Linked DNA regions of Macaca fascicularis. The protein of the gene in region 1 binds, or shares a complex with, the protein of each later gene. Links are inferred from orthologs where the notes say so. Each region holds a gene or a part of one and is shown in the gene's direction. Other genes may lie near its edges. The genes, in order: TIMP2 and MMP2.

Region 1 (15,725 bases):
TGAGACTGGGTCGCACTCTATCACCCAGGCTAGAGTGCACTGGCGCGATCTCAGCTCACTGCAACCTCCACCTCCCGGGTTCAAGTGATCCTCCTGCCTCAGCTTCCCAAGCAGCTGGAACTGCAGGCATGTGCCACCATGCCCGGTTAATTTTTGTATTTTTTGTAGAGATGCGGTTTCGCCATGTTGTCCTGGCTGGTCTCAAACTCCTGGGCTCAAGTGATCCTCCTGCCATGGCCTCCAAAAGTGCTAGGATTACAGGCGTGAACCACCATGCCTGGCCTGTATACTTCTTTCTAGATCCACTCACATATTTGACTTCACATAAATGAAATATTATACATGCTATTTTATTATGGAAACTTTTTTTTCTTTTTTCAGAGTCAGTCTTTTGCTCTGTTGCCCAGGCTGGAGTGCAGTGGTTCAATCAGAGCTCACTAAAGCCTTGAACTCCTGGTTCAAATGATCCTCCTACCTCAGCCTCCCGAAAAGCTGAGACTGCAGGCACAGGCCCCCATGCCCAGCTAATTCCTTCCTTCCTTCCTTCCTTCCTTCCTTCCTTCCTTCCTTCCTTCCTTCCTTCCTTCCTTCCTTCCTTCCCTCCCTCCCTCCCTCCCTCCCTCCTTCCTTCCCTCCCTCCCTCCCTCCCTTCCTCCTTCCTTCCTTGTTTTCTTTCTTCTTCTTTCTTTTTTCTTTCTTTCTCTCTTTCCTTCCTTCTTTCTTTCTTTGTCTTTTTTCTTTTCCTTTTCTTTTTTGGCAGAGTCTCACTCTATCACCCAGGCTGGAGTGCAGAGGCACGATCTCAGCTCACTGCAAACTCCGCCTCCTGAGTTCAAGTGATCCTCCTACCTCAGCCTCCCGAAAAGCTGAGACTACAGGCACGTGCCCCCATGCCCAGCTTCTTTCTTTCTTTCTCTTTCTTTCTCTTTCTTTCTTTCTCTCTCTTTCTTCTTTCTTTCTTTCTTCTTTCTCTTTCTTCTTTTTTCTTTCTTTCTTTTTTTCCTTCTTTCTTTTTCTTTCTTTCTTTTTTTTCTTTCTCTCTCTCTCTTTCCTTCCTTCCTTCTCTTTGTCTTTTGTCTTTTTCTTTTTCTTTTCCTTTTCTTTTTTGGCAGAGTCTCGCTCTATCACCCAGGCTGGAGTGCAGAGGCACGATCTCAGCTCACTGCAAACTCTGCCTCCTGGGTGCAAGTGATTCTCGCGCCTCAGCCTCTCAGGTAGCTGGGACTACAGGCATGCCACCACGCCCAGCTAACTTTTTGTATTTTTAGTAGAGACAGGGTTTCGCCATGTTGGCCAGGCTGCTCTGGAACTCCTGGCCTCAAGTGATTCACCTGCCTTGGCTTCCCAAAGTGCTGAGATTACAGGCATGAGCCACTGCACCTGGTCTCGGCCACCTAATTTCTTTAATTCTTTGTCAAGATGGGTCTCACTGTGTTTCTCAGGCTGGTCTCAAACTCCTGGCATCAGGTGATCCTCCTGCCTCAGCCTCCCAAAGTTCTGAGATTACAGGCACAAGACACTTTGTCCATACCATGGACACTTAAAAGAAATCTTTTTCGGCCAGGTACGGTGGCTCATGCCTGTAATCCCAGCACTTAGGGAGGCTGAGGTGGGCAGATCACTTGAGGTAGGAGTTCGAGACCAGCCCAACCAGCATAGTAAAACCCCATCTCCACTAAAACCACAAAAATTAGCTGGGCGTGGTGACAGGTGCCTCTAATCCCAGCTACTTGGAAGGCGAGGCAGGAGAATCGCTTGAACCTGGGAGGTAGAGGTTGCAGTGAGCTGAGATCGTGCCACTGTACTCCAGCATGGGTGACAGAACGAGACTCCGTCTCAAAAAAGAAAAAAAAATCAATTCTGTGCCTGGCCTCACTCCCCTGACAATCGGTGTCAGCAGCGTGGTGCGTGCCTTGGTCTCCAGGCTGTGGGGACCTTCACTCTCCTATCTGCATTATTGTTCTCTATGAAATAGAACCTTTTTGTTCCTATGTCTCTGCACCTTGCTTTGCTCAGGACCGAAGACTTTTATCAGTTAGTGGTTTCCAACCAGGGCCATTTTGCAATATCTTAAGACATTTTTGATGGTCACAATTGGAGAGGTGCTGGCATCTAGTGGGTCTAGGCCAGGGATGGTGCTGAACACTCTACAGTGCCCAGGACAGCCCCCCACAAAGAGGGATCTGGCCCAAATGTCAACTGTGCCAAGGCTGAGAAGCCCGGCCCCTAATGAAGAATAATACGAATGAAATCCATGTCGAAATGCCCTTCAGCACGTTCGCCACAGAACAGATGAGCAGCTCATGCTGCCTGTGGATCTTTTCTCAAGCACGGTGGGTCCCAGTCACTCTATTATTATTTTTTTTTTTTTTGAGATGGAGTCTTGCTCTGTTGCCCAGGCTGGGGTGCAGTGGCATGATCTTGGCTCACTGCAACCTCTGCCTCCCTGGTTCAAGTGAATTCCGGCTAATTTTTGTATTTTTAGTAAAGATGGGGTGTCACCATGTTGGCCAGCCTGGTCTCAAACTCCTGACCTCAAGTGATCTGCCCACCTCGGCCTCCCGAAGTGTTAGGATTACAAGCGTGAGCCACCATGCCCAGCCATCACTCTTGTCTCACCTTCTTGTCATCTTCAGGATGTCCTGTGGCGAACAGCCCCACCAGTGGACGTTGGGGACGGAAACCTGGGCTGGGTGCCCATTGTGACCAAGAGTCTGAGGTCCGGCTGGATAGGGAGGCACAGATGAGCTGCCTGCTCCTCGCTGAGAGCCATGTGTCACCTGACTGATGTGTCAGCTCCCAGACAGCCAGACTCAGACATGGTCCCCATCTTTCCCTACAGCTGCCAGCTCCCTGCCCCCTGAGACTGCCCGGACACTCCCCTGAGGGCAGAGTTTCAGCTGTCAGCAGGGGGTCAGTTTCCCAGCTGTGTGGGGCCAAAGTCCATGCTGTCTCTGGATGAGAACATCTGGCTCTCTGGGAACCTCCTAGAAAGAGTGGGGGCGCTTCGGGTCCACTCAAGCTGTCTCCAGAAAGAGAACGCGACCTGCTCAGGGGAAGATGGCTCTCATCCAGCCTGGGAGGGCGAGGCCGCCGAGAAGAGCAGTGTCCTCCTGCCAGCCCGGTACCGCAGGGAGGGCATCCTGCCTGGTGGCCTGAGACGGAAGCAACAGGGAGTAGGCCTTGGCACTTCCTCCGGCCCCAGACAGCATTCACCATGTCCAGCCTGGGACGTGTTTGCCGGGTGTGTTTGGGCACGGGTGCACACATGCCTGACAGCTCTGCTGTGCTCTCTGCCGGGAAGGTCTCTTTAAGCGGGTAGGGGAGCCAGGCGATGTTCCTCGTGGGAAGCGGTGGCCCCTGGAGTGTGGTCTGAGGGCCCTGAAATCACCCCCACACTTCACAGGGCTCCCTCATGCTCCTGTCTGTCCTGAGAGGCTGAGAGCCTCTGCTCTTAAACTGGTCCAAGCCAGGGTCCCCCAGGCTGTGGCTGGGCTGGATGTCCCCTATGGTCCCCCGGTAGTCCACCCACCAATATCAAGATGAGAAGTGAAGGGGGCTGAAGCAATGGGCTGGGCGTGGTGGCTCATGCCTGTAATCCCAGCACTGTGGGAGGCCGAGGCGGGCAGATCACCTGAGCGCAGGAGTTCCAGACCAGCCTGGGCAACATGGTGAAACCCTCTCTCTATTTAAAATACAAAAATTAGCAGGGTGTGATGGTGGGCGCCTGTAATTCCTGCTGCTTGGGAGGCTGAGGCACGAGAATTGCCTGAACTTGGGAGGCAGAGATTGCAGTGAGCCGAGATGGCGCCACTGCACTCCAGTGGGAGACAGAGTAAAAATCTGTCTTTAAAAAAAAAAAAAAAAAAAAAAAAGGCAGTGAAACAGTGGAGGGAGCTCCCAACCCGGGGTCAGCTTTGCTCTTTCCTCTCTTGCCCTGGGCGTGGGGCATATGTCCCTTCCCCTGTGGGTGGCGGCCCTTCCCCGTGTTCAAGTTTGTCTTGCAAGGTTGAGCCCTCCTGGCCACAGAGCACAGAGAAGGACAAGGAGAAGGAGCGGTTTGCAGAAGCTGCATCTCTACAAAAAATACAAAAAATAGCCAGGTGTGGCCGGGTGCGGTGGCTCACGCCTGTAATCCTAGCACTTTGGGAGGCCGAGACGGGTGGATCACGAGGTCAGGAGATTGAGACCATCCTGGCTAACACGGTGAAACCCCGTCTCTACTAAAAAATACAAAAAAAAAAAAAAATAGCCAGATGTGGTGGCGGGCGCCTGTAGTCCCAGCTACTCGGGAGGCAGAGGCAGAATGGCATGAACCCGGGAGGTGGAGCTTGCAGTGAGCTGAGATCGTGCCACTGCACTCCAGCCTGGGCAACAGAGCGAGACTTTGTCTAAAAAAATAAAAAATAAAAAATAAAAATTGCCAGGTGTGGTGGGGCACACCTGTGGTCCCCACTACGAAGGAGGCTGAGGTGGGAGGATCACTTGAGCCTGGGAGGCAGAGGTTGCAGTGAGCTGAGATTGAGCCACTGCACTCCAGGTTGGGTGACAGAGCAAGACCCTGTCTCTAAAAAAAAAAAAAAAAAAAAAAAGAGAAAAAAGAAAGAAAAAGTGGGTTTGTGCTGCCATGAGCCAGATTCCAGTCTACTCCCTGTCTTCATTAGGTTCCTAGTGTGAGGCCTCAGTTTCCTTGGTTTTGAGGTGGGAGGACCCTAACTGGAAAAGAAGGTGGAGCGTGGTCAATGGGACAGAAGCTGGCTCAGGAGCCAAGACCCTGAGGGCCCCAAGCAGCAGGGAGATGGCTGGGTCAGCAAGCTGGGAGTTGTGGGCTGTGAGGGAGGCCTGGCTTCTGGGACTGCCCTCTCACTTCCCTGCTGTGCCCTTGGGAGAGTCATTTGGCCCCTCAGACCTCAGTCCTCTCTGCATCTGACTCTACAGCCCCAGGTCAGCCATTCACGGCACTGAACCAGAAAGGGGTTCTGTGCTCACCATTTTGTGGCTCTGGAGTCTCTGCATCTGCAGCACCTGCCCTTTCACTGGGCTCCCTGCCCTCACCTGGGCCCCTCACCACAGTCCCATCCTTCCAGAGGATGCGTCCGATCCTGCCCCTCTGCTCAGAACCCTCCAAAGGATCCCACCTCACTCAGAACAAAATGCACATCCTCCCGGTAATGTGGCTGCCTTCCGCTGTGTCCCCTCCCAGCCCCTGCTCCTGGCCTCCTGCCTCAGCCCTCCTTCCTCTCACTCCTCTGCCACACCACGGGCTCCACCAGGTCCAGCACCTTCCAACCTTGGAGCCTTGCGTGCTTCCACCTGCTGTTCCAGGGATGTTCCTCTGTTCTCTAGACACTGAATCTCACTCTTAGGACGGTGTCCAGGCTACAGCAGATGCTCAAATGAGTATTTGTTGATGGACGGAGGAAGGAGGGAGAGAGAGAGAGAGAGAGAGAACCAAGAGAAAAGGGAGGAAAAGAAAGCTGGAAACTTCTGGTTTAGAGACCTGTTTGGAGGAGATAATGGTAGAGGCAGCAGAAAAGTAGGGTACTCTCTGGTGGGGGAATTGAGGGGGAGAGAAGATTTTTGTTTCGTTTTTAGACAGGGTCTCACTCTGTCACCAAGGCTGGAGTGCAGTGGTGCGATCTCTGCTCACCGCAGACTTGACTTCCCTAGGCTCAAGCGATCCTCCCACCACAGCTTCCCTGTAGCTGGGACTACAAGTGTGCGCCATCACGCCCAGCTAATTTTTTTTTTTTTTTTTTTTTTTGTAGAGAAGGGTCTCACTATATTCCTCAGGCTGGTCTCAAATTCCTGGCCTCAAGCGATCCTCCCACCTTAGTTTCCCAAAGTGTTGGGATTACAGGCGTGAGCCACTGCACCTGGCAAGATTTCTGCTTAACTTTTCCTGGGAGCAATTCCAGCCTGTTTGTGTGCTGGTGCGGATGTCTTCGGGGAGGGCAGTCCAGGACGCAGGTGCGAGGCCTTGGGTTGGAAGTTCCAGTCTCATGCCCCCTGACCCTGGAGCCCAGGCCCGCCTTTCCTCCCAGGTACATCCATATTGGCCCCGCCCCCTTGGTTGTAGGCACCACGGCTGCTCTAAGTATTTATCACCCTAACATGTACCTGATCATTTATGTGTAGAGCTTGTCTAAAAGACCGAGAGCCCCTAAGCTACCTGTTTCTATCATGAACTGACAAATTGAAACACAAGCTCAACCGCATTTTGTTCTCCTTGTAACCAAAAAGAAGGAAAGAAAACAATGAAATGGTTGCAGGCAGCCAGCACATAACAATTTTCTGAATTAACTGTACTTTTAAACGTTAGCTTCAAACATCATTTTGTGAACGACACAACTCTATTTCACGCTAACAAAAACTGAAAAAGTGACTTTGGATTTGTCAGGGTGCTAAAAATAACGGCTCTGCTTATTTAACTTTTCTCAGAGCTGTTACAAAGCATACACAAACAGAAAGAAGCTGTTTTTCCATTCTTTCACTATTTTCCAAAATTTCATACCTCAAGTCAGCACTGCACAGTTTAGCGGACAATTCTTCTCTTTTTTTTAAAACGGAGTCTTGCTCTGTCGCCCAGGCTGGAGTGCAGTGGCGCCATCTCTGCTCACTGCAACCTCCGCCTCTTGGGTTCAAGCGATTCTCCTGCCTCAACCTCCTGAGTAGCTGGGACTACAGGCGTGCACCACCACACCAGGCTAATTTTTGTATTTTTAGTAGAGACGGGGTTTCACTGTCTCTACTAAATGTTGGCCAGGCTGGTCTCAAACTCCTGGCCTCAAGTGATCCTCCGGTCTGGGCCTCCCAAAGTGCAGGGATTACAGGCGCAAGCCACCGTGCCCGCCCTGATTCTTCTTGTGTCATTTTCCTAGGCTTCCATCTCCCTAGCTGGACTGTAAACACCCTGGAATGCTGATCTCAGTGCAGCAGTGTCCACGGAGCCCCTCGGGGCACACACCGGATGTGCAGGGTGGGTGCCCGCAGCCGGGCGCAGGCAGGTTCACAGCCAGGAGGCCCGCCTCACCACCCTACACATGTTCATCCCTTCATATGCCTGGGTCTTTCCTGGAACACAAAACTGTTTTGGGAAAAGTCCTTCGGCTCCCACATTTGTGGGCTAAGAGAGGAAACTGTGAGCGGAGCCCAGCCAATGCCTCTGCTGCGATCCTACTGGCTCCTGGGCGCCTGGGCCCACCCCCGTCTCTTGTTGGCTGGTCAAAAATATGGCCAGTTTATATAAAATCCTGTTTTGTTCACAGTAACCACACCCCCACCCCCCAACTAAACTGGCCAGGCGCACTTGAAATTCTAAGGCCTCCATTTGAAAAAGGGATCCTGTCTGTTTCTCAGTTGGCCACCCGCCCACAGGAACGGGGAGGCGGCGATAGGGAACGGCCCCTGCTCCAAAGGACACCCCTTGGCTCGCCTCGAGGCTGAGCTCGAAGGGACCCCGGGGTGGCGGGGGACGGAGCAGCGTAGCACTCCAGAGTCGAGCTGGAGGGGAAAGGGTGGCGGGTGGGTGGCCCGGTGCCCTGGAGGGACGGGGCGCGAGTCCCACGCGCTGAGTCAGGGCCCCCGGGCGCTGAAGGCCACCCAGCGGGGACAGGGGTCGGGGGGCTGGGGGCGTCCGGGGACCCCCGCACGGGTGTGGGCCGCGGGCGCCAGGTGGTGCGGGAAGCCCCCGACGTGCCAGGCCGGGCACAACAAAAGCGCGGGCTGGGGGGAGGCGCGGGCGGAGGGGGAGGAGGGGGCTGCTGGGAGCGCCCGGAGCCTGCATTGGCCGCCAGCCACCGGGAGGAGGAGCAGAAAATCCTCCGAGCGCAATAAAACGGCGGCACGGCCCGAGCCCGCAGCAAACACATCCGTAGAAGGCAGCGCGGCCGCCGGGAGCCGCAGCGCCGCTCGCCCGCCGCCCCCCACCCCGCCGCCCCGCCCGGCGAACTGCGCCCCGCGCCCCTCCCCTCGCGCCCCCGAGACAAAGAGGAGAGAAAGTTTGCGCGGCCGAGAGGGGCAGGTGAGGAGGGTGAGCCGCGCGGGAGGGGCCCGCCTCGGCCCCGGCTCAGCCCCCGCCCGCGCCCCCAGCCCGCCGCCGCGAGCAGCGCCCGGACCCCCGGCGGCGGCCCCCGCTCGCCCAGCTCCCCGGCCCGCCATGGGCGCCGCGGCCCGCACCCTGCGGCTGGCGCTCGGCCTCCTGCTGCTGGCGACGCTGCTTCGCCCGGCCGACGCCTGCAGCTGCTCCCCGGTGCACCCGCAACAGGCGTTTTGCAATGCAGATGTAGGTAAGGAGCGGCGACCCCCGCCCCCGCGCGGGGCCCCACCTCCCCCACGACCCCCGTGGGTTCGCGGACGCCCCGCCCGCCCGCCGCTGGCCGAGGGACCACAGCGCCCGCCTCCTGGTCCCTCGGCGTCTTCTCGAATCTTGCAAGTGGACGCCCAGAGCCGACTTTCTTTCACCCCTCCCTCCTCTCCCTTTCTTTCCCTCTCTTTGCCGAGATGCGTCTCAACCTCAAAATTCCACCGAAATTCCGCCGCAGCTCCAGCCCCAGGAAAGGGAGCCAGTTTGGCTTTTGGCAGGCGGCGCACCCTGGGATGCCAGCGCTGGGGGCAGGGAGCGTGGGGGACACGGCGTGGGGGCGGGGGGCTGGAGGACTGGGGACCCCAGGAAGAAACTTTCGCAGATAAGGTGGGAGTTGGGCTTCTTTGGGCTTGGGGCTGGGTGGGGAAGGGCTTCTCTGCGGGGCTTCTCCCACCAGCCCCATTTGGGGGCTCCCCGATCAAGCCAGGATGAGATGGAAGCCCGCCCTACCCGAGGCAGGTTCCACAGGCCCAGAGGGACAGGTGAGAAAAGCCAGTGGCGTCCCCTGGCCTGGCTCCTTTTTCGTGCCCTGCCCAGGAGGCCCTGCAAACTGGCTGGGCAGGGACCGGGACCCCCGAATGTTCCGCTTTTTCGGGACGTCCACAAAAGCTGGAGACTTTGATGACTGGACCCGGCACGTGGGACTGTGTGGCTGAGATTCCCCAGCAAATACCCATGACCTCAGGACTCCTAGCCCCCAAAAGACAGGCGCCATGGAGGGAGGGAGGAGGGGCCCAGTTATTTGTTCTGATCCATGGAGGACCAGCAGAAATGGGAGGAACCCGCTGGCCCGAAGTTTCCACCCTGGTCCTACACCTCAAGCCTCTGCAGCACTGGTGCTGGTCAGCATGGTTTTCCTGGGACAAGTCTGGCTACACAGCAAGTGGTCTCAGAGCCCCCTGCCCTCCTTCCTCCTTATGTCTGAGTCTCAGTCGAGTGGCCTGTCCAGGGCAGATGGAGCAAGGCGGGGGCCCCTCACCTGCCCAGACTGGAGGTGGGAGTTTCTGTTTCTCCTGCTGTCAGCCACGCCCTTCCCATACCCACCCACGGCTTCTTGCCCCACCCCAGTTAGCCCTGGGAGCTGCCTCCCCAGCCGGGGAAGTTTTCAGTTGCGCCAATCTATTGGGATCGCAGGTCTCAGGTGGCTCAGGCCACATGGGTGGAAGGCGTGGCGTGTGCCTGTGTCACAGTTTCCACAAAACCCAGTTTGGGGGAAATGAGGTCTTTTCTCCAGTTTAGCCTTGGTGCTCAGCAAGATTTGGGGGTGAAGGAGAGGCTCCTTTGATGAGGGAGCCATAATGGGCCTTTCTCTGGGGGTCCATGGGGAATGCAGGCCTGTCCAGGCTCTTGGGCTGACCAGCACGTGGTGGGGCAGGATGTAGCCAAGGCCCAGAAGGAGGCTGCGGCAAGAAGGACTTGGGAGGTGGATTCGTAGGAGTTGGGCCTTGGGACCCTCCTCCCCGCTCCCCCCGCACCCACACACACACTCCTCAGCTGTGTGGGAGAATGTCCAGGCAGCCACTCTGTCCTTGCTTGGCATAAGTTAAGGCGGCCACTAAGCTGGGAGCTGTTTCTGCGTGGGGTGTGGATCCAGGATGGCAGAGGGCGGAGGGCTGCAGTTCGTGCCTCCTGCCTCCTTCATGCTTGGCACAACACTCTCCTTTTCCTGGGTTGCCTGGCATTTGTGTCTAAATCTTTGCATCAACATCATCCTTTAGCTAAAACTTTTCACCCCATCCCAGCTCAGAGGCCCAGTCAGATGCCAGAGGTGCACTGCAGAGCTCAGGGCATTCGCTTCCTGTGGCCGCTGTGACAGACGACCACAAACCGGGATTCTTAAAAGAACAGGAATGGATTCTCTGTAGCTCAGGGGGCCAGAAGTCCGAAAAGGCGTCCGCAGAGCTGGTTCCTTCCGAGGCTGAGAGGGAGAATCTCTTTCAGGCCTCTCTCCTTGATGTTCCTTGGTTTGTAGACACATCACTTCCATTTCGGCCTCTGTCTTCACATGGGCTTCTCTCTTGGGTGTCTCTGTGTCCAAATTTCCCTGTTCCTTTTTTCTTTCTTTTTTTTTTTTTTTTTTTTTTTTTTTTTTTTTTTTGAGACAGCCAGGCTGGAGTGCAGTAGCAAGATCTCGGCTCATGGCAGCCTCCGCCTCCTGAGTTCAGGCAATTCTCCTGCCTCAGCCTCCCGAGTAGCTGGGATTACAGGCATCTGCCACCACACCCGGCTAATTTTTTGTATTTTTAGTAGAGACAGGGATTCGCCATGTTGGCCAGGCTGGTCTCGAACTCCTGGCCTCAGGTGATCCACCTGCCTCAGCCTCCCAAAGTGCTGGGATTACAGGCGTGAGCTGCCGCGCCCGGCCAAATTTCCATCTTCTTATAAGGACAGCAGCCATTGGATTTAGGGCCCACCCTAATCCAGTATGACTTCATCTTGATATATCAACAAATACCCTATTTCCAAATAAGGTCATATTCACAGGATCTGAGTAGATGTGCATTTGAGGGGGACACAATTCAACCCAGTACATCCAGGCTGCCGTCTCTTATTCCCAGTCACCCTTTCCGTGCTCAACCAACTTGGGATAAACAACCCAGGACATCCCAGGGTAGGGCCCCGGAACAAATCCCACAGGGAAGACAGTGGTCTGTCTATTCTCCAGTGTTCGATTCTCCTTGAAGCGATGCAGGTTTGTGACTTTCTCAGCGATGGTTCCCCATTCTGGCTTAGAGCAGAATGCCTGGAAGATTCTTAAAGATTACTCAGGTCTGGATCCCTTTGCAGATACAGAGCATCTGGCTCAGACTTCAGCTTTTGCAGTTTAAAAGGCCCACAGGTGATTTAACCAGGGCTGTGACTCAGGGGTCTCAGAAAGGGGGTACAGTGGGGGTTAATAAAGGCAGGCTTGTTATGTGGCGAGCTGGCTCCTTTTACTCTTGGCTGCATGCAGGCTTGTTAAATGGCTTGGTGTCTACAAGAGGCAACTGGCTTAAGAAACAGTCAGATTTCTGTCTGCCCGGCTAAGGATTTCTGGGAGGTATCTCCCTAGCAGCTCTTGCAGCTGGTAGGACTGGAACTGTGGTTGGCAAAGATAATTCATTATGAGATGGCGATGTTTAGGATAAGGGATGGTAAGAGATGACCTGGTTTCTTCCTGGAAGGCCCCAGGTCCTCGTCCTTTCCAGCAAGACCAGCACAAACAGGAAGCATTTTGTGTCTCAGTTACAGCACTATTCAAACGCGCTGCTGGCCCGGCTCCCTCTCACCCAGTGAAATCCTTCACATCTACTGCCAGCCTGCACAGCTACAGGGATCTGGCTGGAAATTAGCTTTGGGCTCACCATTCAGGCAGTACCATGCCTGGAGCCACTTAGCCAGCTGAGCTACTTGGCAGACTCAGGCTGCTTGGGCTGGTTTCTGGACTCAAGGGTAAAGCCAGGAGCTCTCTGGATGCAGAGAATGAAACCTCTTCTCTGGCTTGGATGGCGGTACCTAAAGCCACATTATCCTAGAAGACCTCTGTGATGACATCTGCCCCACATGTTCCCATCTCCAGAAACTGCCCTCTGCAAAGCCCCCCAAGATCTCCAGCTCCAGCTAGAGAGGGGTCCACAGCCAAGAGGGGAACACCTGTTGTTTCCTGGGGTGAACGGCCAAGGGAGACATGGTTTCTGTGGGACACAGAGACAGGGACCAGACAGAGAGTAGGGGCCACCCCAGAAAACACACAGCACGCAGTCAAAAATGGCTCTGTCTTCAGGACACGTGCTCAGGAAAAGCAACACAGCATCAGATTCACGTGAGCTGGGTCAGGCCTTCCATGTAAGGGGGCAGGGGTGGCGCTTTTTAAAGAAACTGTTGGCGACTTGTTGTGCAAAGTATGTGATTGATCTGTATTGTTAGTTTCGTTCATCTTGATTTTTGTATCGGGCTTGTCTGTGTTTCAACAAGCAATTATGGAGTGGCTGCCTCTGCCCCAGGGTATGTAAGGGAGAAGCAAGACATTAACCCTGTCGTGGGGGACGCAGGGGGTGGAACTGTACATCTCGGCACCAGGCAGTGTGGAAGGGGGTTCCCGCTGCAGGGCGTGGTGAGCAGGCCTCCCCTCCTCAACTGCCGGGCTGTGGTATAAAGTCAGTCCACTCAATGTGGTTTGGGTAAATAATTAACAACAGATAAACTTTCGAAATAACCAAAATTCAGAAGTAATCATGTAACAATGTGAAATGCATTCGCAAGAGGTGATAGAAGGCCCCATGGTAGGTTGAGGAGGGAGCTGCGGGGAGAACTGGGGCTCTTTGGCTTGGTTTTGAACAGTGTCCTTGGAGGGACGGGATCTGCCAGGGGAGTCACTGGCCCCTGAATTTGCTGGCAGCTCCCAAGGCAGGGAGACTGGAAGAGCAGGGAGAGCTGTGCGCGGCCTGGAGGTACGGCAGGTGCTCGAAGGAGCTCTCCCAACAACACACATTTCTCCCAGGCTGGCAATGTCCTCAGATCCCACACAGGGAGAAATGTCTCCCAGGCTGGCAATGTCCTCAGATCCCACACAGGGAGAAATGTCTCCCAGGCTGGCAATGTCCTCAGATCCCACATAGGGAGAAATGTGTGTTGTTGGGAGAGCTCCTTCGAGCACCTGCCGTACCTCCAGGCCGCGCATAGCCAGCCTGGGAGTGTCTCGGGCCTCCGCCATTTGCACGCTTCTGGTGGTGCGGAGCCACTTCCGCAGTCCCAGCCTGTGGTTTGTGAGCTGCAGGTGGGCTTGGGTACCTGCCTCCCTCCTCCCTGCTGTCCCAGCCAGGTTGCTAGGTAGATGCCACTGGTGTGGGCTGAGAGGTTCAGACCCTGTGGTGACATCTGAGCACATGGAGAACAGGGCATAGATGACTCCTGGGAGACCGAGAGGCGCAGGCAGCCACCTCGGTCCTGACGCAGAACCACTGACTCGATGAAGTGGGGGTCGCATGTACGGTTGAATCTCGTGTGTTCCGAAACAACCAAGAGGTCTGCCTAAGGCTTCTCAGGCAGCTGTGAGGATGGATGCAACAGTAGGGAGGAGGAGATAAGAAGGAAGCCAAGACAGGCAGACGTGGCAGTGGCTGGGGCAGGAGGGGAGCGTGCCCTGGACGCTCCCTCTATCCCCCGGTGCATGCACAGGCTCACAAACCAGGGACTGAGGGCAAGTGGTTGCATGGCTACGATGGTCTTTTACTTTTTCTTGAGACGGAGTCTGGCTCTGTCACCCAGGCCAGAGTCCAGTGGTACAATCACAGATCACTGCAGCCTCAACTTCCTGGGCCCAAGCGATCCCGCCACCTCAGTCTCCCAAGCAGCCACCATGCCCAGCTAATTTTTTGAATTTTTTGTAGAGATGGGGTTTCGCCATGTTGCCCAGGCTGGTCTCAAACTCCTGAGCTCAAGTGATCTGCCCACTTTGGCCTCCCAAAGTGCTGGGATTACAGGCGTGAGCCATGGTGCCCGGCCTATGTATAATTTTTTAATGAGTATCTGATATTGTGAGTGCTTGGCCAAGGTTTTGTTTTGTTGCCCATGGGTCTGAACAGAAAGTGTGGAGACTCTGACCACCTCAGTGTCGGGGGGCGGGGTAAGCAAGCAGATGAGCTGCCCTGAGATTGCTGGGAGGAGGGAAGGGGGGCAGACCCAGACTTCCCAATGGGGAGATGGTCAGGAGCATGGATGTCTCAGAGTGGCAGGCAGGATGAAGCTGGTGTCCTCAGGACCTCCCAGGGCCCACCTGCCTGGACCCCTGCAACCTGAGTGGGCTGGAGTCCCCAGTGCCTGTGCCCTGACGCCCTAGTGCCCTTGTGCATTTGTTGGGGCGTGGCTGTCCAGAAGCAGAGGGAAGGGCACAGAGACCCAGCCCCGATGACCCCCACCTTACAACTGAGGGCTGAGCTACTCCCCCGTCAGCCAGGTCACACTGGAGCCCAGGGAAAGCTTCTGGAGCCCCCGCAAGTCAGGTTGAGAGTGTGTTTGCTCTAAGAAGCAAGTTGAGGAACAGTCTTTATAAAAGAGGGGTCTTAACTCAGAGCGTACGAACACCCAGCCGGAGATAGGCCTGGTGGGCTTGGGGGTGGTCACAAGCCCTGAAACTGTAAGTGAAGTTGTGTGTGTGCGTGCGCGCGCACGCATCCATGTTTTTTTGTGGACAGTGGCAGCCGCCAACTTCTCAAAGGGGCATGTGGCCCTCCAAAGGTTAAGTCACTGCCATTTAAAAGGGTCTTATAGGTTTCAAGTCTTCTGTTTGCTATGAGTATCTGCCTGGTCTCAGAGCTGAGCAATGGTAACGATCTTGCCTTTCTCTGCTCTCGCACCCTCATTCTGCACTTGGCCGCCCTGGGTAGCCAGGGCCCGCTCAGACATTACCACCATGGGGGGTGTCTGAGGCAGATCTGTAACCAGCTCTGGGGAAAGGATGCCAACAGTGTCCTTTGGCCTCCTAGCTGGTCTCAGGGATGGCTCCAAAGACCTGGGCGGTTCTGTGGTTGTCTTCCATGGGGAAGGCATCCTTGGTAGACGGCAGCTGCTTTTTCGTCTGAAACTCTGATCAGAGCTGGAGCACACATGGCCTGAAGGAACTCCAGACCTCAACAGTTAGGAAGGGCCTGGTGTCTATGTCTTAAATACCTGCTTCTTATGGAATTTATTCGCTTAAGGGTTTTTATATTTTGTTTTACAGTAGAATTTGGGTGCCCACCACACACAAAAATACTATGGCAAGTGTTTCAAGGAATTTAGTTTTTTTGAGATGGAGTGTCGCTCTGTCACCCAGGCTGGAGTGCAATGGTGTGATCTTGGCTCACTGCAACCTCCGCCTCCTGGGTTCAAGCAATTCTCCTGCCTCAGCCTCCCCAGTAGCTGGGATTACAGGTGCGCACCGCCACGCCACGCCCGGCTAATTTTTGTATTTTTAGTAGAGATGGGGTTTCACCCTGTTGGCCAGGCTGGTCTGGAACACCAAAGCCATGGTGCCTGTCTTCAGGGAAATGAGCGCAGGAATGCGAAGATCATCCTGCAGGCTGCACCTCGTGCTAGAGACTCTTATCCTGGTGAAGACAGTGGTGAGATTGTGGGCCCTGAGGGGTGGATCTTATCAGAGCTAAGGAAAGGTCCTGGGGTGGGCAGGGGGGAGCCCAGGGTGGCTGTGGTAGAGAGTGTACCACAGTGGGACAGAGTAATTAGAACAAAGTGTGGCCGGGCTTGAGCCCAGGCGGAGCAGCAAAGCCTGGAGGCCAGGCAGTGGGACCCAGGAGTGGGACCCCGGGGAAGGCTTTATGGCCCCTGCACTGGGGAGAGGGGTGGACAGGAGGGGGATGACACCGAGGAGGAAGGTGGTGTT
Region 2 (15,743 bases), on another chromosome or scaffold:
TGCTCATCTCTAGATATAAAAGTCCTAGACGGGATCTTCTTTCAATAGAAAGCTGTTTCATCTACAATGAAAATCTGTTGTTTAGTGTAGCCACCTTCATCAACAGTCTTAGCTAGACCGTCTGGATAACTTGTCACAGCTTCTCCATCAGCACTTACTGCTTACCTTGTACTTTTATCTTATGGAGACGGCTTCTTTTCTTAAACCTCATGAACCAACCTCTGCTAGCTTTAAACTTTTCTTCTGCAGCTTCCTCACCTCTCTCAGCCTTCACAGAATTGAAGAAAGTTGGAGCCTTGCTCTAGTCTAAGCTTTATCTTAAGGGAAGGTTACGGCTGCTTTGTTCTCCTATCCAGACCACTCAAACTTTGTCTGTATCAACAATAAGGCTGTTTCACTTTCTTTTAATTTGTGTGTTCACTGGGATAACACTTTGAATTTTCTTTAAGAGCTTTCCTTTGCATTCACAACTTGGCTACCTGGTGCAAGAGGACTAGTTTTCGGTCTCTCAGGGCTTTTGGCATGCCTTTCTCACTAAGCTTAAACATTTCTAGCTTTTGATGTAAAGTGAGAAATGTGCAGCCCTTCCTTTCACCTGAACACTTAGAGGCCATCGTATGGTTATTAATTGACCTCATGTTGATATTGTTGATCGTAGGATATAGGGAAGCCCACAGAAAGGGAGAGAAATGAGGAATGGCCCGTCAGTTGGTAGAGCAGTCAAACACACACATTCACAAGGGTGATTAAGTTCACTCTGGTATATGGATTAAGTTCACCCTGGTATTCGCTTTCACTCGCGTCCGTGTGAAGAGACCACCAAACAGGCTTTCTGTGAGCAACAAGGCTGTTTATTTCACCTGGGTGCAGGCGGGCTGAGTCCAAAAAGAGAGTCAGTGAAGGGAGATAGGGGTGATGCCATTTTACAAGATTTGGGTAGGTAAAGGAAAATTAGTCAAAGGGGGTTGTTCTCTGGCTGGCAGGGGTGGGGGTCACACGGTGCTCAGCGGGGAAGCTTTTGAGCCAGGATGAGCCAGGAGAAGGAATTTCACAAGGTAATGTCATCATTTAAGGCAGTGACTGGCCATTCTCACTTCTTTTATAGTGGAATGTCATCAGTTAAGGCAGGAACCGGCCATTGGGATGTATATGTGCAGGTCACAGGGGATATGATGGTTCAGCTTGGGCTCAGAGGCCTGACATTTGTGGCACTTCAAAACAATTAAATAGTGACATCAGAGATCACTGATCACAGATCACTATAACAGATATAATAATAAGGAAACATTTGGAAATATGGCAAGAATTATCAAAATGTGACACGCAGACATGAGGTGAGCACATGCCATTGGGAAAATGACATCAATAGGCTTGCTTGACGCAGGGTAGCCACAAACCTTCAATTTGCAAAAATGCTATATCTGCACAGCACAATAGGGCAAAGTGTGAATCAAATGAGGTAACCTGTACCTCCAGCTAAACTCCCAGAATTAATTTTCCTTGGCTCCAACGGATTCACAAGCCAGTATCTGAATCATCACCTCGCCAAGATGTCTGGATCTGCTTTTTAGTCCAGCCTGGGTCACATCGCCACTGTAGAGCCAGGAGGTGGGTCATATCTGCTGAACTCAGACCTAGAGTTGGGGAGAAGTGGCTTCCCAATGGGAAACTAAGGGGCAGCTAACCAGAAGTAGGAGAACAGGGTCTTGGGAAGGCTTACATGGCAGATGGCCACTACCTCCCTCAATGCTCTGTCCCCTGCTTAGCATCCCGCATTGTCATTTCTGCGTCTTCATCAATAAAACACTATCTTAATGCCACTGTACCCCAGCACCGAAAACAGTGTTCATCAAAAACGTCCGGAATAAATGACAGAATTCATGTCAAATCACGATGTCTTCTAATCACAGCCCACGTAGTTTTCTGGGGCTGCTGTAAGAAAACACTACAGACTGGGTGGCTTACAACAGAAATTTATCCTCTCCGAGTTCTGGAGACTAGAAGTCCAAACTCAACATGCCAGCAGGGCCATGATCCCTCTGAAGCCTCTGGAGAAGAATTCCTTCTTGTCTCTTCTGGCTTCTGGGTTGCAGGCAATTCCTTGTCTTGCAGGCATTCCTTGTCTTGCAGGCATTCCTTGTCTTGCAGCTACATTGCTCCAATTTCCGCCTCCATGGTCACATGGAGTTCTTCTCGCTGTGTGTCTCTGTGTCCAAATTTTTGTCTTCTTATCATGATAACAGGCATTGGATTAGAGCCCACTCATCTTAACTTGATTGTAACTGCAAAGACCCTATTTCCATGTGAGGGCACAGTCACAGGCATTAGAACTTGAACATATCTTTTTGGGGAATACAATTCTATCCACTAAACAGCATTTTTGCCTCTACATTAAGATTGACTAAAAGATGCTGCAGTAACAAACATATCCCAAAAGCTCCGTGGTTCATTGTATAAGAGTTTGTTTTTCACTTACAAAGTCTGTAGTGGGTCTAGTTGCTTTCACTTTATGACTTTGCCAGATCAACACGGGGCTCCCAGGGTTACCATGGCAGGGGAAGAGAGATTTACAGGAGTGCACAGGGGCCCTGGAGCATATTGCATGTGCTCACCAACAAGCCCATTATCATCAGATACTGCCTGTTCTCTGCTTGTCGCCTGGGCCATTCTAGGCCCCAAGTGAGGGTTCTTGGATGTCACACAAGAAGGAATTTGAGGCAGTCCATAAAGTGAAAGCAAGTTTATTAAGAAAGTAAGGGAATGAAAGAATGGCTATTTCATCAGCAGATCAGCCCCAAGAGCTGCTGGTTGCCCATTTTCATGGTTATTTCTTGATTATATGCTAAACAAGGGGTAAATTATTCATGCTTCTCCCTTTTAGACCATATAGGATTACTTCCTGATGTTGCCATGGCACATGTAAACTGTCGTGGGGCTGGTGGGAGTGTAGCAGTAAGGCTGACCAGAGGTTTTTCTCATCATCATCTTGGTTTTGGTGGGTCTTGGCCAGCTTCTTTACTGCAACCTGTTTTATCAGCAAGGTCTTTATGACCTGTACCTTATACCAGCCTCCTATCTCATTTCATGATTAGGAATGCCTTAACTTGCTGGGAATGCAGGCCAGCAGGTCTTAGCCTTATTTTACCTAACCCCTATTCAAGATGGAGTTGCTCTGGTTCCAATGCCTCTGACATAGTCACTGCTGGGCACAGAAGCCTCTCTCTCACTGAATGCTGCTTCTGCAGCCATTGCCATCTCTGAATGGGCACCAAGCCCGTACACTGGAAACCGATGCCCTTGGAATGCCATAACCACAGAGGCTGTGAAGAGGTACAGTCAAAGCTGCCCTCTGCCAGAGGAGCCCCAAAGCTATGTTATGTAGACCCCAAAGATTTTCCGAAAAGGTTAAAACTCAAACTGAGCAAGTGTAAATGAGCTACACCTAGTGAAGGAAGTCACATACAAGGCAATACGACAGAGAGTGGTGAGGACTGTGGCAAACCAGCTAAAGGGAGCAGTCACTACTCAGCTTCAGCAAATTACTGCCATATGGAAACTGGCATCCAGTATTGCCAGATTTTTGGGAAATTTTTTTAAAAAAAGAAAACCAGAAAGTCAGATTTTTACATGAAGTGTCCCAAATTTCAAAATGCTGTTCAGGCTGGATTCAGCCCACAGGCCACGAGTTTGCAGCCCCTGCTTTAGTGAGACAACTTTTTCCATTTTCACTCTCAGCTCTCAGCTCTCCAACTTGGCTCTCTGGCTATTCACAGGACGTGGACACGAGCCCAGTGGGGCTGGGCCAGCAGGCAATCCCCCTTCCCAACTGACCTCAGTCTTGCCCTCTCCAAAACAGCCAAGGTCTCTCACTGGGTCAGGCTGAAGGGCCTGGTTCCCTCCTGCCGGGCAAGGTCCCTCCCAAGAGGCTCCTTTAAAACTGACTCTGGCAAGTCAGCAGCACACACCCCCCTTCAGACAAGCCTGAACTTGTCCGAAGCCCACTGAGACCCAAGCCGCAGAGACTTTTCCAGCTGTGATGATCAAGACTCATAATCGTGACCTCCAAAGCCCTCCACAAGCATATTGCTCCTGATTCTTTCAGCCCCTGACCTTGCTTCTCAAACTATTCCCTGCTGAACCCCAGTCCTATCTGCCCCCTTCCTAGGCTGGTCCTTACTGACCCCTCCAGCTCCATCCCCTCACCCTGTGCCCCACCTTTTTCAGATGGAAAAAACTTCCTTCTCCAGTGCCTCTTGCTGTTTTTCATCTCTGGGCCTTTGCCAATGTTCCCTAGATTGTGCCTAAAACTTTTCCCATATTCCCCACCCAGCACTCCACATCTTTAGCTCTTCAGGTCTCAACTCAGAAGTCACTTCTTCCAGGAAGCCTTCCTTGATTGTCTTTGCTAGTTTAAGGGCTGAAGTCAGGTGTTCCCAATAGCCTGCGAGAGTTTCCCATCGCAGCTTATCTCTCAACTGTCTTTCCTGACAGAGGTAGAGGACATTCCTCAGAGAATGTTGTCACGGGGAGAACCTCAAAATTGGCATTCAACCTGAGAGGCCACATGGATTCTTGGCTTGGCTCAGGAAAGGATTCAAGAGTAAGTGGGGAGTTCCTGGAACTGAGGGCTCCTCCCCTTTTTAGACCATATAGGGTAAACCTCCCCACATTGCCATGGCATTTATAAATTGCCTTGGCACTGGTGGGTGCTTCCTTTAACATGCTAATGCATTATAATTAGCATAAAATGAGCAGTGAGGATGACCAGAGGTCCCTTTCTTTGCCATCTTGGTTTTGGCTGGCTTCTTCACTGCATACTGTTTCATCAGTGGGGTCTTTGTGACCTCTATCTTATTAAACCAGTCTTGACCAATTTCTATCTCATCCTGTGACTGAGAATGCGGACCCTCCTGGGAGTGCAGCCCAGCAAGTCTCAGCCTCATTTTACCCAGCCCCCTGTTCAAGATGGAGTCGCTCTGGTTCAAACGTCTCTAACGCGGGGCCCGTGACTACTCTGTTTCCCAAGGTGTATCTAGCATCTCGCACTACGCGAGGCCAAGTTAAGGCTTACACATTTGCAGAAGGAAAGAGGTAGCGAAGCAACCTGGGACGTTCCACTGTTTCTGTTTCCATCTCTCTATCTCTTTCCATCTCTGTTCATCTCATTCCTCTCTGTCCCCATTTCTAAATATCGAAAATTTCTGTCTCTGACCATCTATCAATGTGGCTGATCATCTGTTTCTGACCATTCCTTCCCGTTCCTGACCCCAGGGAGTGCAGGGAGTCCTGGCCCAGCCGGCGTTCCTCCAAGTAGTACCACTCTCTAACCTCAGGACGTCAAGGGCCTAGAGCGACAGCGCCAGATGTTTCCCAGCAAGGGGTTCTGAGGCTGTGCGCCCAGATCTCGAGAGAGGGAAGTGGGGTGACGAGGTCGTGCACTGAGGGTGGACGCGGAGGCCAGAAGTAGCAGGCGGCCGGGGAAAAGAGGTGGAGAAAGGGAAAAAGAGAGAAAAGCGGAGGAGGGCGAGTAGGGGGGTGGGGCAGAGAGGGGCGGGCCCGAATGCGCCCCCCACCCCTAGCCCGGCCCAGCCAGCTCCCTCCCAGCCCAGCCGGCTACATCTGGCGGCTGCCCTCCCTTGTTTCCGCTGCATCCAGACTTCCTCAGGCGGTGGCTGGAGGCTGCGCATCTGGGGCTTTAAACATACAAAGGGATTGCCAGGACCTGCGGCGGCGGCGGCGGCGGCAGCGGGGGCGCGGGGGCCGGACCATGAGCCGCTGAGCCGGGCAAAACCCAGGCCACCGAGCCAGCGGACCCTCGGAGCGCAGCCCTGAGCCGCAGAGCAGGCTCCAACCAGGCGGCGACGCGGCCACACGCACGGAGCCAGCGACCCCCGGGCGACGCACGGGGCCCGGGAGCGCAACGATGGAGGCGCTAATGGCCCGGGGCGCGCTCACGGGTCCCCTGAGGGCGCTCTGCCTCCTGGGCTGCCTGCTGAGCCATGCCGCCGCCGCGCCGTCGCCCATCATCAAGTTCCCCGGCGATGTTGCCCCCAAAACGGACAAAGAGTTGGCAGTGGTGAGTTGCTGCGCTGGCCTCAAGGAACCAAGTTTAGACAAACTTCGGAGGCAAAACATGGGGGTGTCTCTCCCCCTGCCCTCGGCGGTGGGCACACAGTGTGGGGGAGGGGCTTCGGTAAACAGCTTGGGGGGTCTTTGGTAAGCTATTGGAGTGATGTCTTGCAAACGGTGGGGGATCTTTTGTAAGCAGAGAAGACCTTTGATAAACAATTTGGCAACCTTCAGGATACAGCAGTGGGGCGAAAAACAAGCCAGAGAGCGGGAGAGGGGTGACCTGGCAAACTACTGGAAAGGGACTCTTATGTAAATGGCGGGGACCTCCTCTAGTATCTGGGACATTTGGCAAGGGGGGGCGGTCTTTGTAAACAATTTTTGGACACATCTGGGCAGTTGCTAAGGGCTCTCGCCAAGCGTCTTGGTAGGCCTTTGGCAGACAGCTAAAGGGGTCGTTTTTGCTAATGTAGGACTTTGGGAACGGGGCTCTGGCACACAATTTGGGTAAATTTATGCGCGCATAAGGATGGGAGGGAGCTTAGCCAACGCGGGGCTTGGCAAACTTCTAGGAACCTTCAGCACAGATCCGGAGAGGGGCCTTTAAATAAACAGCTCAAGGGGACCATTTGGGAAGTGATTGGGGCAGGAGGGAAGCAGAGAGCGCATCTTTTTTCACCTGGCTTAATGGACAAATTGGTCAAGGGCTGGGCCTCGGAAAGTTTCCTCGAACTTCTCCAAAGGGTCGGAGGAAAGAAGGAGAGAGCTTGCCCGGCAGGAGGGAGGAGGAGTGGGGCAGGCGCTGGAGGGCCTGGCGCGTGGGGCGGGGGCGGACTGCGCTCCGCTAGGGTCGGAGAGCGGCCAGCGAGTCCTCCTTCCTGGCTGGGTTCCCAAACTGCGGTTCAGATGTTGTCTTGTGAGCGTGCGCGCGCCTGGCTGGAGGGACACTGAGCCTGGCCGCAGTGTTGCGTAAGTAGGGCCTGAGGAGGGAGGCCAGCCAGGGACCCTTCAAGATGTCCTTTCCACTCCGGGGGATATCTGCTCCCTTGTTGCCTCAGCCACCCTGCCCTCCAGCCTCCCCCTCAACCTGTCCGGGAGAAGACGCCCATGACCTCTGGTCACCCTAGGAACTCCTTCAGGAGATGACACCTACCCTCTCCCAACTCTCACCCTTTCCAGGCAGCTAAGTCTCAGCCCCCTCTGGATAGATGGGTTGGGAAACCTCTGTACATTTTTAGAGGGCTACTTTTTTCAAGGGTCTGGAGCTGGCTAGCATAATGATGTGGCTGTTGGGTGGGGCTGAGAGTGGAGCTGTGGGACAATGACAAAGCTGCTTGGGTTCCTTACACTTTTTCCAGCCAATGGGTCACAGGATGAACCCCTAAATTGGGGCTCAGCCTGGGGGCCACATGGGTTCTTGGCGTGGAACAGGAAGGAATTCAAGAGCCAGCCAACAGAGTAAAGTGAAAACAAATTTATTAAGAAGCTAAAGGAATAAAAGGGTGATTATTCCATAGGCAGACCAGGGAATGGGCTGCTTGAGTGAGTATACACACGGTTATTTCTTGATTATATGCTAAACAAGGGGTGGATTGTTTAGGAGTTTTCCGGAAAAGGGATGGGGAGTTCCTGGAACTGAGGGTTCCTGTCCCTCTTAGACCATATAGGGTAACTTCTCCATGTTGCTATGGCATTTATGAACTGTCATGGCGCTGGTGGGAGTGTCTAATGTATTTAACATCCTAATACATTATAATTAGCATATAATGAGCAGTGAGCACGACCAGAGGTCACTTGCATTGCTGTCTTGGTTTGGGTGGGCTTTCTCCAGCTTCTTTACTGCATCCTGTTTTATCATAGGGGTCTTTGTGACCTGACCTGTATGTTGTGAAATCAGTCCTGCCAACCTCCTGTCTCATTCTGTGGCTAAGAATGCCTGCCCTCCTGGGAATGCAGCCCAGCAGGTCTCAGCCTCATCTTACCCAGCCCCTACTCAAGATGGAGGTGCCTGGTTTGAACACCACTGACAAACGGAAGTCTGTGTTGTCCCTAGGCAATGCAGTGGGGGGCTTAAGAAGATAGCTCTGGACTGAGACCGCTTGGCTTCAAATCAAAGGGTGCATGAACTAACTAGCTGGCCTAGTGATGATCTTGGGCAAGTGACTTCTCAGTTTCTTCATCTGCAAACTGGGAAATTCCATATCTCAGGGTTAAAAGAGAGGTAATCTTAGGTGCTTACCTAGCACATGGTAAGTACTCAATAAGCACTAGTCATTATTCCTATTATATTATTATTATGTCCTTGATTTCCCCTTTCTTAACTACTTCCAAGAAGGCTAGGACCATTGTCAGACGATCTCCTGGCTCTTTTCACCGTTCCAACAGGGCACTTATCACATACTTCATTTTGGTTTTATTTGTGATCTATCAGCCTCCCTGCTAGGATTGAACTTTAGAGACAGAGCTGTCTATCTTGTTCACCAATTTATCCTCAGCAGTAGCACTGGGCTTGGTACGTGGTAGGTGCTAAAAAGTATTTGTTGACTAAATAAATGAGTCTGTTGCTCCCTGAACCTCTTTGCAGGGACCTGCTCAGTTTTGGCCTGTTTGGGCAAGGCCAGTTGTATGGCTCCTGAAGGACAGCACTGCTTTATTTTTGCAAATGGCTGATTCAGGATTTGAACCCAGGTTTGTCTGCTGCCAGAGCCCATGCACATAGTCTTTGAATCTCTTTAGAAGAAAAAAGGAAGAAAAAAGTCCCCAAGTCACCAGCTGCAAGGTAGATAAAAGAGTTGATAGAGGTAAAAGAAGGATGCTGGAGTATCACGTTTCCTAGCACAGGCTCTGGAGCCAGATTGCTTTGTCCCAAATCCGGATCTACCATTTGTGAACTGTGTGATCGTAAGCAAGTTTCTTAACCTCTCTGTGCTTCAGTTTCCTCCTCTGTATAACAGGGATAGTATATCTACATTATAGAGTTTTGAGCATTAAATGAATTAACATATTCTGACTTTCGTGCCTGGGCATATAGTCAGCACCCAGCACCAACAAGCGGTAGCTATGCTCTCTATAGCTGTATGTCCTGTCGCTCAACTAAGGGGTGCCAGTGCTGATTTGGGAACCCAGTACTCCACCCAGTGCTCTGGGACCCCTGGCTTATATCTTGTCTGGACTATGGCACTGGGTTGGGGGCTGATTGCTACAGCCTGCTTTGGTTAATACTGTGCCATCTTAATGTGGCTGCTTGCCTTGGGGGTGTGCATTTCTTTCAGCAATACCTGAACACCTTCTATGGCTGCCCCAAGGAGAGTTGCAACCTGTTTGTGCTGAAGGACACACTAAAGAAGATGCAAAAGTTCTTTGGACTGCCCCAGACAGGCGATCTTGACCAGAATACCATCGAGACCATGCGGAAGCCGCGCTGCGGCAACCCAGATGTGGCCAACTACAACTTCTTCCCCCGCAAGCCCAAGTGGGACAAGAACCAGATCACATACAGGTGCTAGGGCAGGGCTTGGGGAGGCAGGGCCATTGGGCTGAGGGACACGAGCCTCCTTGACCCATGCATTCTCTCCACTCAGGGGATCCATGAAGTGTCTTTTGTGAAGGCTTGGCATCTTAGGGAGTTTCAATACACAGTTCTTAGAAAATGAAGTCAGACAGACTTGAATTTCATACTTGCTAGCCATCAGACATTGGGTTCCTTTTCAGTGCTGTGAATGTTGGCTTTCCAATCTACAAAATGTGGCTTTAAAAATGCCCTTCCCCACATGGTTGGTTGGGGAACTAACCTAGACTGAACTAATACAAATGACTTCTATGATTTTTGACACAGAGCAAGAGTGTAGTAATGCTAGCCATTGTTATTGTTTTTAGTTGAGGTCATTGGGATGGGCAGAAGGAACGTGATGATTGGTAGCTAATTGAGTTTAGCAGCCCAATTGGGTTATAAATTGTTGCTAATTGGGCTGAGAGCTGTGCTCTGTATGGCTGCTGCTGGGTTCCAATGGTGAGATCTTTGCCTTATGCCCCATAATGCACACTTATGGCCCTCCCCCACCAGCCAGAAGTGACAGATGGAACTCCTGAGCTGAGGCCTAAAAATGTTGGCTGGCCTGGGACTCCCTGGGTCTTCAAGGTATCCTGGGAAGTTTGTTCTTGGCAGTGAGCCCTGCCTAACCTACACACACATACATGCAGGCACATGCTCACATATACATGCACATACTTGTGCACCCTTCCCATGCTTGTGCATATACTTGTATGTTCACATACACACACACTCAAACTTTTTCACATATCTGTGCACACACACATACTTGCATATGCACACACTTATGCCCATGCATACACACTCACATGCATTTCTACCACCTCCAGGATCATTGGCTACACACCTGATCTGGACCCAGAGACGGTGGATGATGCCTTTGCTCGTGCCTTCCAAGTCTGGAGTGATGTGACCCCACTGCGGTTTTCTCGAATCCATGATGGAGAGGCAGACATCATGATCAACTTTGGCCGCTGGGGTAGGCAGAAGATGGGGCAGAAGAGGGGCCAGCAGGGAACAGCGTCGAGACGAAGGGGCGAGATGGACATTAGAGGGGTGTGGGGATCCTGAGGGCAGCTTAGATAGGACAGTAGATGGTGTGGACCCTGGGGGTGGTTTAGATGGGGGCAACACAACACGGAGTGGACACTGGAGAGCCACGTTGACATAGGGGCAGATGGTATGCTGTGGTGTAACCTGGAGGCCGTCTAAACCCGAAGCAAGTGGTCTACTATGCTGTCCAATATGGCAGCCATTGGGTAGAATATACATGGCTATTTAAATTTAAATTAGTTAAAAATTTAAAATCGATTTCCAGGTCACATTGGGCACATTTCAAGTGCTCAAAAGACACAGGAGGTTAGTGGCTATTGATTTTGGACAGCACAGACAAAGAATTTTCCTCTTATCACAGAAAGCTCTGTTGGATGATGCTGGTAGATACTGAGGAAGTGTAGATATATGAGAGTGGTTTGGAAACAATGGAGCAGTGTAGACATGAGAGGAAGGGTCATAGAACCCCGGGCCAGGTGGCCATGTGAGTTTATGGTGTGAACATTGCCAGTAGCACAGACATAAAGGTAGGTGGTATAGACACTGAGTGGTAAGTGATGAAGGTAAAGAGCATGGGAAACAGTGTAGACAAGTGGGTGGGTGGTACAGGCCTTGGTGACAAGGTGGGCATGAGGATTCGTGTTGCAGATATTGGTGATAGTGTGACATAAAGGCAGGATTGTGGTTAAGAGGGTGGTATTGACAAGAGGGTGGATGGCATAGACACTGGGGCTGATGAGGATGGGGTGAGGACACTAGTGTGGTAATGTGTGTATGTGGTAGGTATAGTGTCATCGTGGTAGTGTAGACAATGAAGGTAGCGGGTATGGATACTGGGAGTCATGTAAACCTGGGAGAGCAGTGTAGACCATAGGATGGTAACAACCAGGTCAGCAGATCTCTACCGAGCCCCAGTGTTTGCAGTCCTGGATAACCCCACTGGGATGACGGAAGGGGACAGGTGCTGGGTGGGCTGACAGGCTCCACATGTAGATGGGGTGGGAGGGGTTTCAGGGTCTAGGTGGCACAGCTGGAAGCTAAGACCCAATGTGTGTTTCAGAGCATGGTGACGGATACCCCTTTGATGGTAAGGACGGACTCCTGGCTCATGCCTTTGCCCCAGGCACTGGTGTTGGGGGAGACTCCCACTTTGACGATGATGAACTATGGACCTTGGGAGAAGGCCAAGGTGAGAAAGGGGCCCTCTGCATGCCCCAGACCTTCTCTCCTGTCCTCTCTCCACTCCATCTGCTTGGACCGGAGAGGTGGGAGGGGAGCAAAGTCACACATCTGGGTGAGTCAGAATCTTGGTCTCCAAAGAAGGCATGGAGAAGTCCAACCTCCCCCTTCCATGTCACCCTTTAGTGGTCCGTGTGAAGTATGGGAACGCCGATGGGGAGTACTGCAAGTTCCCCTTCTTGTTCAATGGCAAGGAGTACAACAGCTGTACTGACACTGGCCGCAGCGACGGCTTCCTCTGGTGCTCTACCACCTACAACTTTGAGAAGGATGGCAAGTACGGCTTCTGTCCCCACGAAGGTGAGCATCCACTCTAGTACTCAAGACTTTCCACCTCAAGCTTCCAGCTTCCCCGGCTCCCCACTGTGCTCCACCCTCCACACTCTCCAGGACTGGCTGGCACTGCCAGTCAATGAGCATCCCTCCAACATCCTTCACTCAGTTCCCCCCCAACCTGATCTGAGCCATTGTTGTTTCTCTCCCACCAGTACCATGATGAACATAATACTTTAATTAAATCAAGTCGATTTTTTTTTTTAAGTTTCACCATTAGCAATCATTTAGGAGTCACAGATTTGATGTGCTAATTATTTATTTCTTACATATATTGGAGTAAACTTAGAACTATTACAATGCCCAGTGGTTCTCTCTAGAACCAGTCTTTATACTTCAATCAAGATTGATACTTCAAGGGCATGAGGAAAGGCTTGCTGGTAGCTGGAAACCTAGCAGTGTGATAAGGAGGCAGGACTCAGACCAGGGCTGGACTCAACCTGGTTTGCGAACTCCAACCGAGGAATTTCACCTATTGCTCCAGCCTTGGTCCTGATGCTGCCTCTGCTAATGCGTGTGTGTGTGTGTGTGTGTGTGTATGTGTGTCTGGGCACAGGGGCTATACCATCTGCCTCTCTTGGGCACTGTCTTTTTCTGCCTCCTGTGTAGCTTGTGTCTGCATCTCTGTGTCTTGATAAATACTGTAGGCTTGACTCAGTATTTGTGTTTGTGTGCTTGTCAGTGCCTGAGACACAACATTTTCAGATATTTTGAAGCCACATGGGGGAAACCTTTTAAAATGGGGTATAGATATTGACATACACACTCAATCCTTTCTAAAAATATCCTTAACGCACTTCATAGTCTTGATGGTGTATGTAACTTCATAGTCTATGAAGTCATCATATTTGATAATTCTGCAGATTGAAAGCCCAGAAAACCTGGGGAAAACAGAAAAAAATCTAAAAATTTTTATCACTATCTTCTTTCCCATCTCACAAAGACTCTTTAATCTACATAGACTAAAGACTGTCTTTTTGTCTGTAATTTTACATCTGTGAATCTCCCTAACCCCATTGTAACTGAAAACTAAGCACCAACCATCTTCACAGAACGAAAGAAACAAAGAACTAGTTAATTCCTTTCCTGTTTACACTTTTATTACCAGAGCTAAACTTTATATTAAGTAAGAGTTTAAGCCATTCACCATTAATAAGTCAGAAATTTTGAAATAAAAATATTTTTTGTATCTTGCGTTTCCCGGTAGGGATTACATGTGGCATTAACCCTTCCCTGTGTCACCCCTCTGATAGGAACAGAATGCTTTGATGATAGGTAGATGTGGAAACAGCTGTATTTCATAAAGTTTGGGAAGGGTTATTCCCTACATTGGACATTAGTTATTTACTTTGTGCTTAGCCAGATGCAAGTACGCACAACACGCACGTGTCTGGGTCTCGAGGCAGAGATTCTTGTTACTCAGCCCCTGCTGACTGCTGAGTCAGTGTCTGATTCTTGCCATCCTTGTCAGGGGAATTTGGGAGGAGACAGGGGCTTCCTGGGTGGTAGAAATGCGGCCGATGGGAGGTCAGAGGCAGGGGGCTGGCATTGGTCAAAGTTAACACTTTGCCTTTCTCAACTCTGAGGCCACTAAGGTATCTGGACTCAGTCTTGCCTTTTCTCTAGGTGATATTTTTTTCTGGCATTGCAGGACAAGGTCTTTTGGTAGAGAGGGGAGCAGTGAGGATACAGGACTCCAAGTTCTGTGGTGGGAGGCCAGGCACTGGGCTCCATTCTGGCCATGGTGGAGTTAACGGGGGCTGGTGAGGTCACCTCTGGCGCCGTTGTGCACAGATGGTCCTTGTTATGGACTTGTGGTTTTGCTAGTTGGCAATTCCAGAGACACACCATTTTTTAGCTTTGGGTGGATGAGGGGAAGATGGGGAGAATCCAAGACACACAGGCCAGGCTCTGAACCCCACTCCCTCCCCCAGCTTTCCAGTTATGGCCCCTGTCTTGAAGATGTCAAAGTAGAAGCCCAGAGTGTTTAGTAAAAGGAACCTGAAGGCACCACCTTCCTCTCCCTCCCTCCTCCTCTTCTCTCTTTCTCTCCCTCCTACAGAGACTGCAACAAGGCCATCCAGGAAGGGGCCTGGGGTTGACAGGAGGTAAAGCTTTCTTTCTGTATATGCGTGTGCACACACACATCTACATGTATGAGAGTGACAGACTGAGCAAGAGAGATTGAGATTGGTGTGTTTTGTAGTTTTTAGTTACAACCTTCATTCACTTGTTTCATTTATGTGACCATGAGCAGTTTGAGAACCAGCTTTGTCCTAGCCTTGATTTCTCCACCTATCAAACGGAGAGAGCTTCTCGTGGTCCTGCCTGCCATGACTGTTATATTCATGTCATACATCATTATTTCATGAAATTTGCATGGTACAGGCATGGACCAGGCAGTGTGGACAGTGACCTTGGGGCTGAGGCAGGGTTCTAGAAGCCCTTGCTGTGTCCCAGGTGTCAGCCATTTTGTTGTTGGGTGGTCCATAAGATCCCAGGGGAGGGATTGGGATAACCAGGGAAGCAGGGCTTCTCTCTGGGAGCTCAGAGAAGCAGCTCCTTACCAACCAGTAGAGATGATTTCTTAATATTTTTTTTTTTTTTTGAGACGGAGTCTCGCTCTGTCACCCAGGCTGGAGTGCTGTGGCCGGATCTCAGCTCACTGCAAGCTCCGCCTCCCGGGTTCCCGCCATTCTCCTGCCTCAGCCTCCCAAGTAGCCGGGACTACAGGCGCCCGCCACCTCGCCCGGCTAGTTTTTTTTTGTATTTTTTAGTAGAGACGGGGTTTCACCGTGTTAGCCAGGATGGTCTCGATCTCCTGACCTCGTGATCCGCCCGTCTCGGCCTCCCAAAGTGCTGGGATTACAGGCTTGAGCCACCGCGCCCGGCCTGTTTTCTTAATATTTTAACAATGCATCAACTTCACTGATGTGAACCGGCAGATGGGCAGCCGGCCAGCTGTATGCCCATGGAGGCATGTCTCATTCATATCCTTCTCTCTCTCCCCTACCCCTAGCCCTGTTCACGATGGGCGGCAATGCTGAAGGACAGCCCTGCAAGTTCCCATTCCGCTTCCAGGGCACATCCTATGACAGCTGCACTACTGAGGGCCGCACGGATGGCTACCGCTGGTGCGGCACCACTGAGGACTATGACCGCGACAAGAAGTATGGCTTCTGCCCTGAGACCGGTGGGTGCCACTACCTCTCCCTCCCTCAGGGCCCAGCACCTGCTGTCTAATAAAAAACCCATAAGACTCCCTGTGCCAACCTCCTTTCCCCAAGACAGGGATGCTAAGACATCTGTGCGAATGACATCCACACCCAAGATGTCCGTGCAGCTGGTCAGGATACCTGTCACCTGGTATGGCCTGGACACTGAAATCAGAACAGACATTGGGTATCAACAGTTGAATTGGTGACACCTAAATGTCAGGCCTGCTCAGGATCCTCTGACTGACCTGCATCCCTTTTCTCTCAGACTCTCTGACAGATAC

Evidence for each region.
Region 2: the proteins of TIMP2 (region 1) and MMP2 are in contact, whole or in part, in a crystal structure (PDB 1GXD), measured with the Homo sapiens proteins. The link is inferred for Macaca fascicularis from reciprocal best matches to the Homo sapiens genes TIMP2 and MMP2. Residues at the interface, in NP_003246.1 of Homo sapiens: Ile162, Pro163, Cys164, Tyr165, Ile166, Pro169, Leu173, Met175, Val178, Thr179, Phe191, Arg196, Asp198, Ser200, Cys201, Ala202, Trp203, Tyr204, Arg205, Ala208, Lys211, Gln212, Glu213, Phe214, Leu215, Asp216, Glu218; in NP_004521.1 of Homo sapiens: Trp574, Lys576, Asn577, Lys579, Tyr581, Phe588, Arg590, Lys595, Asp599, Phe602, Lys604, Ile606, Ala607, Asp608, Ala609, Trp610, Asn611, Ala612, Asp615, Tyr636, Leu638, Leu645, Lys646, Ser647, Val648, Lys649, Phe650, Gly651, Ser652.

The regions. Positions count from the first base shown.
Region 1 is NC_088390.1:85,322,974-85,338,698, reverse strand, and holds the start of TIMP2 (metalloproteinase inhibitor 2), read left to right. Parts: upstream 1-7,860; 5' UTR 7,861-8,158; coding exon 8,159-8,288; intron 8,289-15,725. UniProt on the Homo sapiens protein: Complexes with metalloproteinases (such as collagenases) and irreversibly inactivates them by binding to their catalytic zinc cofactor. Known to act on MMP-1, MMP-2, MMP-3, MMP-7, MMP-8, MMP-9, MMP-10, MMP-13, MMP-14, MMP-15, MMP-16 and MMP-19.
Region 2 is NC_088394.1:51,467,728-51,483,470, forward strand, and holds the start of MMP2 (72 kDa type IV collagenase), read left to right. Parts: upstream 1-5,644; 5' UTR 5,645-5,923; coding exon 5,924-6,076; intron 6,077-9,341; coding exon 9,342-9,568; intron 9,569-10,449; coding exon 10,450-10,598; intron 10,599-11,732; coding exon 11,733-11,861; intron 11,862-12,037; coding exon 12,038-12,211; intron 12,212-15,263; coding exon 15,264-15,437; intron 15,438-15,743.